2 linked regions of the Xenopus tropicalis genome follow. The protein of the gene in region 2 interacts with the protein of the main gene of each other region in a biochemical or structural test. Links are inferred from orthologs where the notes say so. Each region holds a gene or a part of one and is shown on either strand. Other genes may lie near its edges. The genes, in order: six3 and nr4a3.

The links.
Region 1: the proteins of nr4a3 (region 2) and six3 form a complex in vitro, tested with the Homo sapiens proteins (3 studies listed by BioGRID). The link is inferred for Xenopus tropicalis from reciprocal best matches to the Homo sapiens genes NR4A3 and SIX3.

Annotation. Positions count from the first base shown.
Region 1 is NC_030681.2:19,137,633-19,141,969, reverse strand, and holds the start of six3 (homeobox protein SIX3), read right to left. Parts: upstream 2,907-4,337; 5' UTR 2,635-2,906; coding exon 1,943-2,634; intron 1-1,942. UniProt on the Homo sapiens protein: Transcriptional regulator which can act as both a transcriptional repressor and activator by binding a ATTA homeodomain core recognition sequence on these target genes.
Region 2 is NC_030682.2:64,938,753-64,943,297, forward strand, and holds the start of nr4a3 (nuclear receptor subfamily 4 group A member 3), read right to left. Parts: upstream 3,105-4,545; 5' UTR 2,981-3,104; intron 830-2,980; 5' UTR 828-829; coding exon 1-827. UniProt on the Homo sapiens protein: Transcriptional activator that binds to regulatory elements in promoter regions in a cell- and response element (target)-specific manner.

The sequences.
Region 1 (4,337 bases), on a different chromosome or scaffold from region 2:
ATGGGAGACTTACACAGTTTGTATTCCTATTCTTTATTTTCGGGAGAAATAAAGACAATTCGGCAAATGATGTTTCTGACACAATGGGAGTTTGTTTACAGACTTGCTGTGCTAATTAAATGGGAGAAAGGTGCTATTTGGGAAGGGTCTGGGCAGATTTAAAAAGGAAAATCTGCCCCACGTTAATGGGTACACGGCTGTGCAAGTTATACGTGCAGGAGGCTTTTATAAATTGAAATACTAATTATACTACCGTAATTAGTGCCTGTCCCCTATTTATTAGTGCCCCTTTTTATTTTAAAAGAAAGAGTAAAACATATTTCGAATCTGCTTTCGTTTTGTAGGGAATTTAAATGGAACACAGGGAATTATTGCACAGACATAAACACACACACAGACTACCCGGGTGTTTTATTTGGTTTCCTTTATGGGCAGAGTGATTTAATCAGTTAAAAATAATCTTGTCTCCATCATCTATCCACATATTTATCTATCTATCTATCTATCTATCTATCTATCTATCTATCTATCATCTATCTATCTCTCTTTCTATTAATCTTGCTGCCCATCACCAATATACTGTGCAATATTAGTTTGTACTTGAGGCCCATAGTCACACAATATTTCCATCTCAGCTGTATGAGAACTCACTCTCCCACCGCCCAGCTATTTAGCAGTTTTACACAGTCAGGTTCTATAACTGACCCACTATGCACAGAATGTACTGTTACACTATATGGGCCAGTCAGTAACTATATTTCTATCACAGAAGCAGTGCAAGCAGAACTCACTGGCCGCCGGCGTTCGTAGCTAGTTGTACTAATACAGGATAATATAGGAAGACCTTTATTTGTATAAGAAGGAAACTACTGGCCCAAGTACTGTCCCACAGTCCCAAAACACTTCCCCACACCCCTACGGTAGTCTCCCACATATCCCAAAACCTTTCCAAAAGTACAAAGCCAAACTGCCCCCCTGCCAATATCTCCCAGTCCATTCAGTATTCTCCTAGCCAATTCAGTGCTCTCCTAATATATTCAATACACTCCTAGCCCATTTAGCACAGCTCATAGAGCATTCTCTTAGCCCTTCTAGTACTCTCCCAGGAAATCCAATACTCCCCTAGCCCATCAGTACAGTTTATGCAGTATTCTCCTGCCAATCTGTACTCGCCCGACGTATCCAATTCTCTCCTAGCCCAAGCAGCAGCAGTCTCCCATCACATCCAGTACACTCCTAGCCCAAGCAGCAGCAGTCTCCCATCACATCCAGTACACTCCTAGCCCAAGCAGTACTGTCCAATACTCCAGAGTACTCCCTCAGAGCCCAAGCAGTACCCTCCTAGCCCAAGCAGTATTTCCACTTTCCAATACTCCAGAGTACCCCCCCCACCCAGAGCCCAAGCAGTACCCTCCTAGCCAAGGAGTACTTTCCACTTTCCAATACTCCAGCGTACTCCCCCAGAGCCCAGTACCCTGCTAGCCCAAGCAGTACTTTCCAATACTCCAGAGTACTCCCCCAGAGCCCAGTACCCTGCTAGCCCAAGCAGTACTTTCCAATACTCCAGCGTACTCCCCCAGAGCCCAGTACCCTCCTAGCCCAAGCAGTACTTTCCAATACTCCAGCGTACTCCCCCAGAGCCCAGTACCCTCCTAGCCCAAGCAGTACTTTCCAATACTCCAGCGTACTCCCCCAGAGCCCAGTACCCTCCTAGCCCAAGCAGTACTTTCCAATACTCCAGCGTACTCCCCCAGAGCCCAGTACCCTCCTAGCCCAAGCAGTACTTTCCAATACTCCAGCGTACTCCCCCAGAGCCCAGTACCCTGCTAGCCCAAGCAGTACTTTCCAATACTCCAGCGTACTCCCCCAGAGCCCAGTACCCTGCTAGCCAGCCAGATGCCCCAAGAGAGGCAGAAATAGGGGAGGCATTCCCGGGACTGACCTGTTCTTAGCCGCCGCCGCTCTGTCCCTCTGCCTCCGGTTTTTGAACCAGTTTCCCACCTGGGTGGGGGTGAGTCCGGTGGCCTGGGCCAATTCCCTTTTCTTGCTGGGGTTGGGGTAGGGGTCCTGCAGGTACCATTCCCTCAGGAGGCTGCGAGTCCTCTCCTTGAAGCAGTGCGTTTTCTGCTCTCCGTCCCAGATGGTGCGGGGCAGGGGGAACTTCTTCCGTACCCGGTACTTATCCACCGGCCCCAGGGGGCGCCCCCGGAGCTTCTCCGCCTCCTGGTAATGCGCCTCCAGCCACATGGCCTGCAGCTTCCCGTGGGACTCCTTGGTGAACTTGTGATTCTCCAGGATATGGTAGAGGTCCCTGAAGTTGCCGGTGTGGAAGGCGACCACGGCCCGGGCCCGCAGGATGGACTCATGCTTATTGATGGCCTCACACGCCCCGGGGGCCACGGGCAGGGACCACAGGAAGCGCCCCAGCCTCTCTATGTCCCCCGTCTCCTCCAGCGTCTCACACACGCTGGCCACTTGCTCCGGGGAAAAGTTCAGGCTCGGCAGCTGGAACATTGACAGTTCTTCTTGGGCCCGGGGGCCCCCGCTGGAGCCGGCCAGGAGCACTGAGCGCTCAGGGAAGTTGGGCAGGAAGAAGTGGGCGGGATAAAGCTCTAGAGGAGACCTGAACACCATGGGATGGCCGGCAGGGGGGGGACCGCAGGAGCCAGGGAGAAAGAAGCAGCGGCACTAACGGCAGCGACAGCGGCAGCAGCAGCAGCAGCGGGACAGTCACTCAGCGCAGTGCCAGCGGCCTCATCCTAGCGCCCTTTCCATGCACACTGAGTGCAGCACCGAAACATTGCTTCGCTTTTCTATTGGTCTGCCAGGTGTCTCCAGGGCAACGCTGCCAATCACTGTCACCTCTGCCAATCAACGGCGGCGACGTCACTTGCAGTTACCACTTCCCCTAGATGGGGGGTAAGGTAGAGATGGGAGTGTGGCTGCTGCTGTGGTGGGAGGAGGGTGGGGGTTATCTAATGGCAGACTCCCCCCACCGCACAAATACACATACATCCTTCCCCTTTAAATAAGGGATCAAATAATGTGATTGTTGAATGGGATGAGCAATTAGTGGGTGGAATATTATTGTGATCTGAAGGAGGTAAGAAGAGATATATGGGGGGGGGGGGGGGGGGAGTAAATGGGCCAAGGGGCTGGGGATACACATTGGGAATAAAGGGCTTCTCACTGAGACCGTTTCCACATGATTTGCACGTAGTTTCCCTTCATTCTGCCCATGTGAGCAGCAATAGTGCTGGGGAAGAATGGAGAGATGAGATCATGAGAGCACCCTTACCCGGGTCACCCTGCTCCGGGCACTGCCTGCTGCACCCACCTACCCTGGGCCCGGCCATGGCACCCATTAACCCTTATTGTGCCAAGCCAGGCGCTATATTCCTGCTCCACTTGCTCCACTCTCAGGGCTTTGTAAAAGTTTGTCTCAACTGCAGCAATGTCTGGCTTCTTGGCCTCACCCATTGTATCTGCCATCTATCTGCCTATCTGTCTGTCTGGCTATCCATCTATCTGCCTTCCTCTCTGTCTAGATATCTGCCTGTCTGTCTGTCTGGCTAACCATCTATCTGCCTTTCTGTCATATAGCTATATTTCTCAGCCTCTCTACCCATATACTCTCCCTTTGTCTACCCACTAATATTCTGTATTTATTAATATGTTATCTATCTTATAAGATTTCTATAATCTATTTATCTATCTATCTATCATCTATCTATCTATATCTATCTATATCTATCTATCATCTATCTATCTATCTATCTATCTATCTATCTATCTATCTATCTATCTATCATCTATCTATCTATCATCTATCTATCTATTATCTATCTATCTATCTATCTATCTATCTATCTATCTATCTATCTATCTATCTATTATCTATCTATCTATCATCTATCTATCATCTATCTATCTATTATCTATCATCTCCATCTGTTTTAATATGCCTAACAGGCCCACTACCCAACTAGTTTATAATGCGATTTATAAGTTATTTAAAACGCATCATACAATCACTTTTATTACCAATTTGTTTATTTATATATCATCTATATATTCTAAGCTAATGGACATACTATCTATAAATATCTGTCTATAACTGCTCTTTAAATGTATAATCAATTATATTTGGGCTCAGTGACTGCATTCTTTATCAATCAAATTTGTTTCATGCTCTTTATCTATCTATCTATATCTATCTATCTATCTATCTATCTATCTATCATCTATCCATCTATCTATTCTTCTATCATCTATCCATCTATCACTCTATTACTAGATAAATCATTTATGAGTAGATAGATGTATATTAATAAATG
Region 2 (4,545 bases):
CCCTCACATGTTCTGACACCATAGTGCTGACATGCAGCGTTATCTCCACACACTGCACAGGTTCCTTCCCCAGAGGTTTTTCGGATGGGGGGTGATGGAAGGTTTCCATCCCCTGACACAGCGACATTGTGAGTACTTCCAAGTGAGGAAAAGATCAAATTAGATCCCTTTGTTATAGGCAGATTGTATGGCAGATGATCCATTGCCCCATGGGCAGAGACTCCTTCAGGACATAATAATATACTTTGAGACAGGTCATAACACATCCGTGAGTTAGAAATTGGGTTATTCAAAGGAGAATACTTTAGGTGAAAATTTGGATACTGGGGTGTAACAGTTTTAAGTAAAGTTTCAACCAAAGGCCCAGAGTTTATACATGACTGTGAAGGTGGCAATGTGTCAAGTTGTTCCCATCGTGGTGACAGATGAGCTGGGTATTCTGGGGTTGTCGGGGTTGAAGGAGGAGACTGCTTAAAATACATAGATGGGCTAGACATAACATTTGCTTGTTGAGAAATTGATGGTTGATAGTTGATTGGATGGTAACTCTCCAACTTTATCAAGGATCTCTGACTCGATGCTTGCATTTGATATAAACATGAGGGTTTGTGTTCATAACTTCCAGAATATCCATCCATGAAAGAGCTAAAACTTGGCAGGGATGTGGTAGCTGACGCTGTAATCCCTGTGCAGTTTAGATCCATGTTCACTTTGGAATGGTAAGAACTAATTAATTGTTTACTGAGCTCAGAGCCATGAGAGTAATGCTGAGTTATAAATGTGGAAACAGGTGGTGATGGACTATACCGTGCTTGCATGCATGGCATACCTGTGGATTTAAAAAATATATATACATTTTTACTATTTCTTTATAAACTTAAGTGATCAAAATACCCTGTTTGCCTGTAAACCTTTCCCCAATTTATTATCATGCATAAAAACAAAGTAGAATACCATCTTTTTCCAGGAAAACATTATATCGAGGAAAGAAAAAACGAAGTTTACTTGAATGGGACCACATAAAAAAAACATAAAATCTGGGACTATAAAAACAAATTACTGTATATATTTTAAGTACATAGGGGTACATTCTCCCCAGTTGCCCAGCTCCCCTGTGCGGCAAGTTTGGTGCCTTCTATGTTTGGCTGGTGTGATCAGCGAAGAACATGCAAACTGTAAGCTGACCTGGTCCTGACTTTTAGTAAATGCACATGCTCTTGGCCAGTGATCGCACCTATGGGAGCCTATATAGGGATTCTCTTACACAAAATAGGCTTTACTTCCCCTTTAAATTAATTTCTTAATGTTATTACAATTAAACATGCTTCTGCTTGTACTGTGCTACTTTGTGCATGTAACTTTAAAACAATGCAGCAGGAATCAGCTTATCTACAGCCAAAACTCCAATTGCCAGACCACCGTGCCCACTTCTGAGACTCTTTTTCACAGGTAGTCACAAAACATGCAAAGCATTGTAAATAGAGCCAGAATCAACAATGCAGAGAAATGGCAAAGAAGAGACAGAAACTGGTTTCAGTCAGAATTATATTTACAAATACATTTTAAATAATTAAAAATCTGTAATTTGTTTGTATTGGAAAGTTGTTACAACCCCTTTTATCTTCTAGTTCCTACAGCATTAGGCTACAAATATAAAAGACTCAGGTGGTCTCCAGTGTGCCTATAAAAAAAGCTTTCCATTGAACATAATATCATTCCAGGGCACCCACATTCAAACAGATAATACTGTCTGAAATTTAATTATAGGTTCCTTTCAGTCTTAATTTACCTGAAGACTGGGTCTGCCCTCAGGATCCGCCAATGTTTTATATAATTTGATGGACCTGCTTGTGTTATATTTTGTAACAAATACAGGTGCATCTCTATATTTTTCTGTCCTAAACTTTTCTTTCTTGTTTAGTAATGTGTATATATTAGTGCTACTTCTTCATATGTATTTTCTTATAAATTTACAGCATATCCTTTGTTAAATATAGAGAAAAAAGAAAGAGATTATGTCAAAATAAACATTTTAGCTTTTTCCACAACACATTTGGCACACTTGTTTTCTATGATAACATGCACTATGGATGCTAGCCTATTGATTTTTATTGTTTATAATTCATGTTGTGAGCAGTCAGTTCCAAAGATTCCTCTATATTATTTGCAGGCTGGCAGACAAGCCCTGAGGATGTCCCTGACTCAGACTTCTGCTGCAGGTTACCAGTTACAGTTAACCATAAATTTGGCATATTGTAGTAATATGGTTTTAAATCATAAAAATACACATAAACAATATCTCATAAGGCACTAAGTGCCCGTTATCCGGAAACTCGTTAACCAGAAAGTTACGAATTAGGGGAAGGCCATCCCCCATTGACTCCATTATAAACAAATAATTCTAATTTTTTAAAATGATTTTATTTTTCTCTGTAATAATAAGACAGTACCTTGTACTTGATTCCAACTAAGATAAAATGAATCCTTATTGGGAGCAAAACAAGCCTATCGAGTTTATTTAATGTTTAAATAATCATTTAGTAGACTTAAGGTATGGAGATCCAAATTACAGAAAGATCCTTTATCCGGAAAACCCCAGGTCCCGAGCATTCTGGATAATGGGTCCCATACTTGTACTTTCTTTTATTCAGGTAATTTAACACTTCATGTTGTATACCTTGATAACTTCCCTACAAGTAGATAACATTTCATTTCAGGTCTTATTTAAAACTGAAAGTGAAACAATGTTCATTATATACCGGTAAAACGCATTTATGCTGATATATAAATGGTTATAAAGGTAACAATTTCTGCATGTAGAAAGGATTTAAATAGTTATTTTATAGTACAGGGCTGAATAAATGTTTTCCTATTTGGCTCCTAACATAATTGGTTAGATCTTATGGCCATTTGGCTGTAAATATAAACTATTTACAATGTTAGCACCCAGCTATAACAAATACAAGCCTTTGATGATTACCTAGATGATTGGTGAATGGTGGAAGGGTTTGGCAGACTATCAGAAATAAAAGCTGAAAATTCACTACTTCTGAAGATTGTTGTCAGTGTGATTTTAGGGCTTAATGGTAGCTGTTCCTTTAACCTAGAATCTAACAGAAAAGAGAATATGTAGAGTAAAGGGCAAGATATTGTTCCATAATTAAATCAATAAATAATAAAATCAATCAGAATATTTAGTAATTGCAAAGAAAATGTATCTGAATGTGTACTAAACATTATATTGCAGACAATATATATTTACATTACTTGAGTGGATTTATATGACAAATTGGAATGAAACAGTAAAAAATCAAACAAAACCCTTGATGCATATACATTTGTGTTTATGTCTTTAAACCGGTTAAGGCAAATCTATAACAATTGATCTTAGTTGATGTACAAACAGCTGAATAATAAAGATTTCCAAATACAAAAACAACAATATTTCTTGGTATAGTTTTCCATTGCATGTAGCCTCTCACAGATGGTCATTATTTTATAGCAGCTTAAATGATAAAAAGCCATCCTTCTATAACATATATCCATAAGAGCAAGCAGCTGTTACTGAAAACTGTTACTGAAGTGTTATATATCAGTGAAAGGAGTATCTATGCATACTTTATTACCTGTTATTTGTATCTGCTGGTGTTCATCTGACCTGTCTCCACTGCTCTCTCTCTCTCTCTCTCAAGCTAACTGCCTCACTCTGAGCATCCAGGCTGCCCACAGACTAGCCTGGTCTCCAGGTTACCTAAGGAACACTTTGATGGCCTCAAAACATCCACCTAATTATTGCATTAGACCACAGATCTCAAATAATCTCATGAGCTCAGACTTCACTAAATTGCTTAAAAGATAAATAAGTGTGGTAAATTAGTGAGTTTTCTTGAGCTTTTCAAACTATAATGAACAGAACTAATGCAATTTTCCCACATAATCACTACATAATTGTAAAAGTGTAGAAAGTGTTGTTTTATGTATGTTATGTTCTATTTATATCAGTGCATATCCATCCAAGCAATGCTTTTATGTAGGAGTAGACTGGCTCCAATAGTCAGAAAAAGTGAGATTTCCACTAGTAACCAACAGGAGAAAAACAAACAAAATAACAGCAGTATCACTAACATCTAACATCACTAATCTAAGACAATTTGTGTAGCTACACAAAAACAGATAACACATAACAACTCATAACCAGAAGATCCAAAACCACAACTTCATCTAACTGATCAGCTCACCAATAGTTCCCATTTCCACAATAGCACCTGCCATTTTCAAACAATACCATTCTTACCTAACCTGCTCGATGCAAGTTATAATTCGCAATCAAAAGCATGCTTAAAAAGAAAGAGTCAGATCACTGCCGTACATCACACAGCTACGATCATGTTGCCTACAGCATCATTACTATGGCAACTGCAGGTAATATCTCCATATTGCATTCGTCCCATAGTCCACACTCGGCACGGTGAAAAGTTCTGTCGCTATTTACAACACGACATTACCCGCAAGGGATCTTGAAACCTCCTGCCCCATCCAATCAAA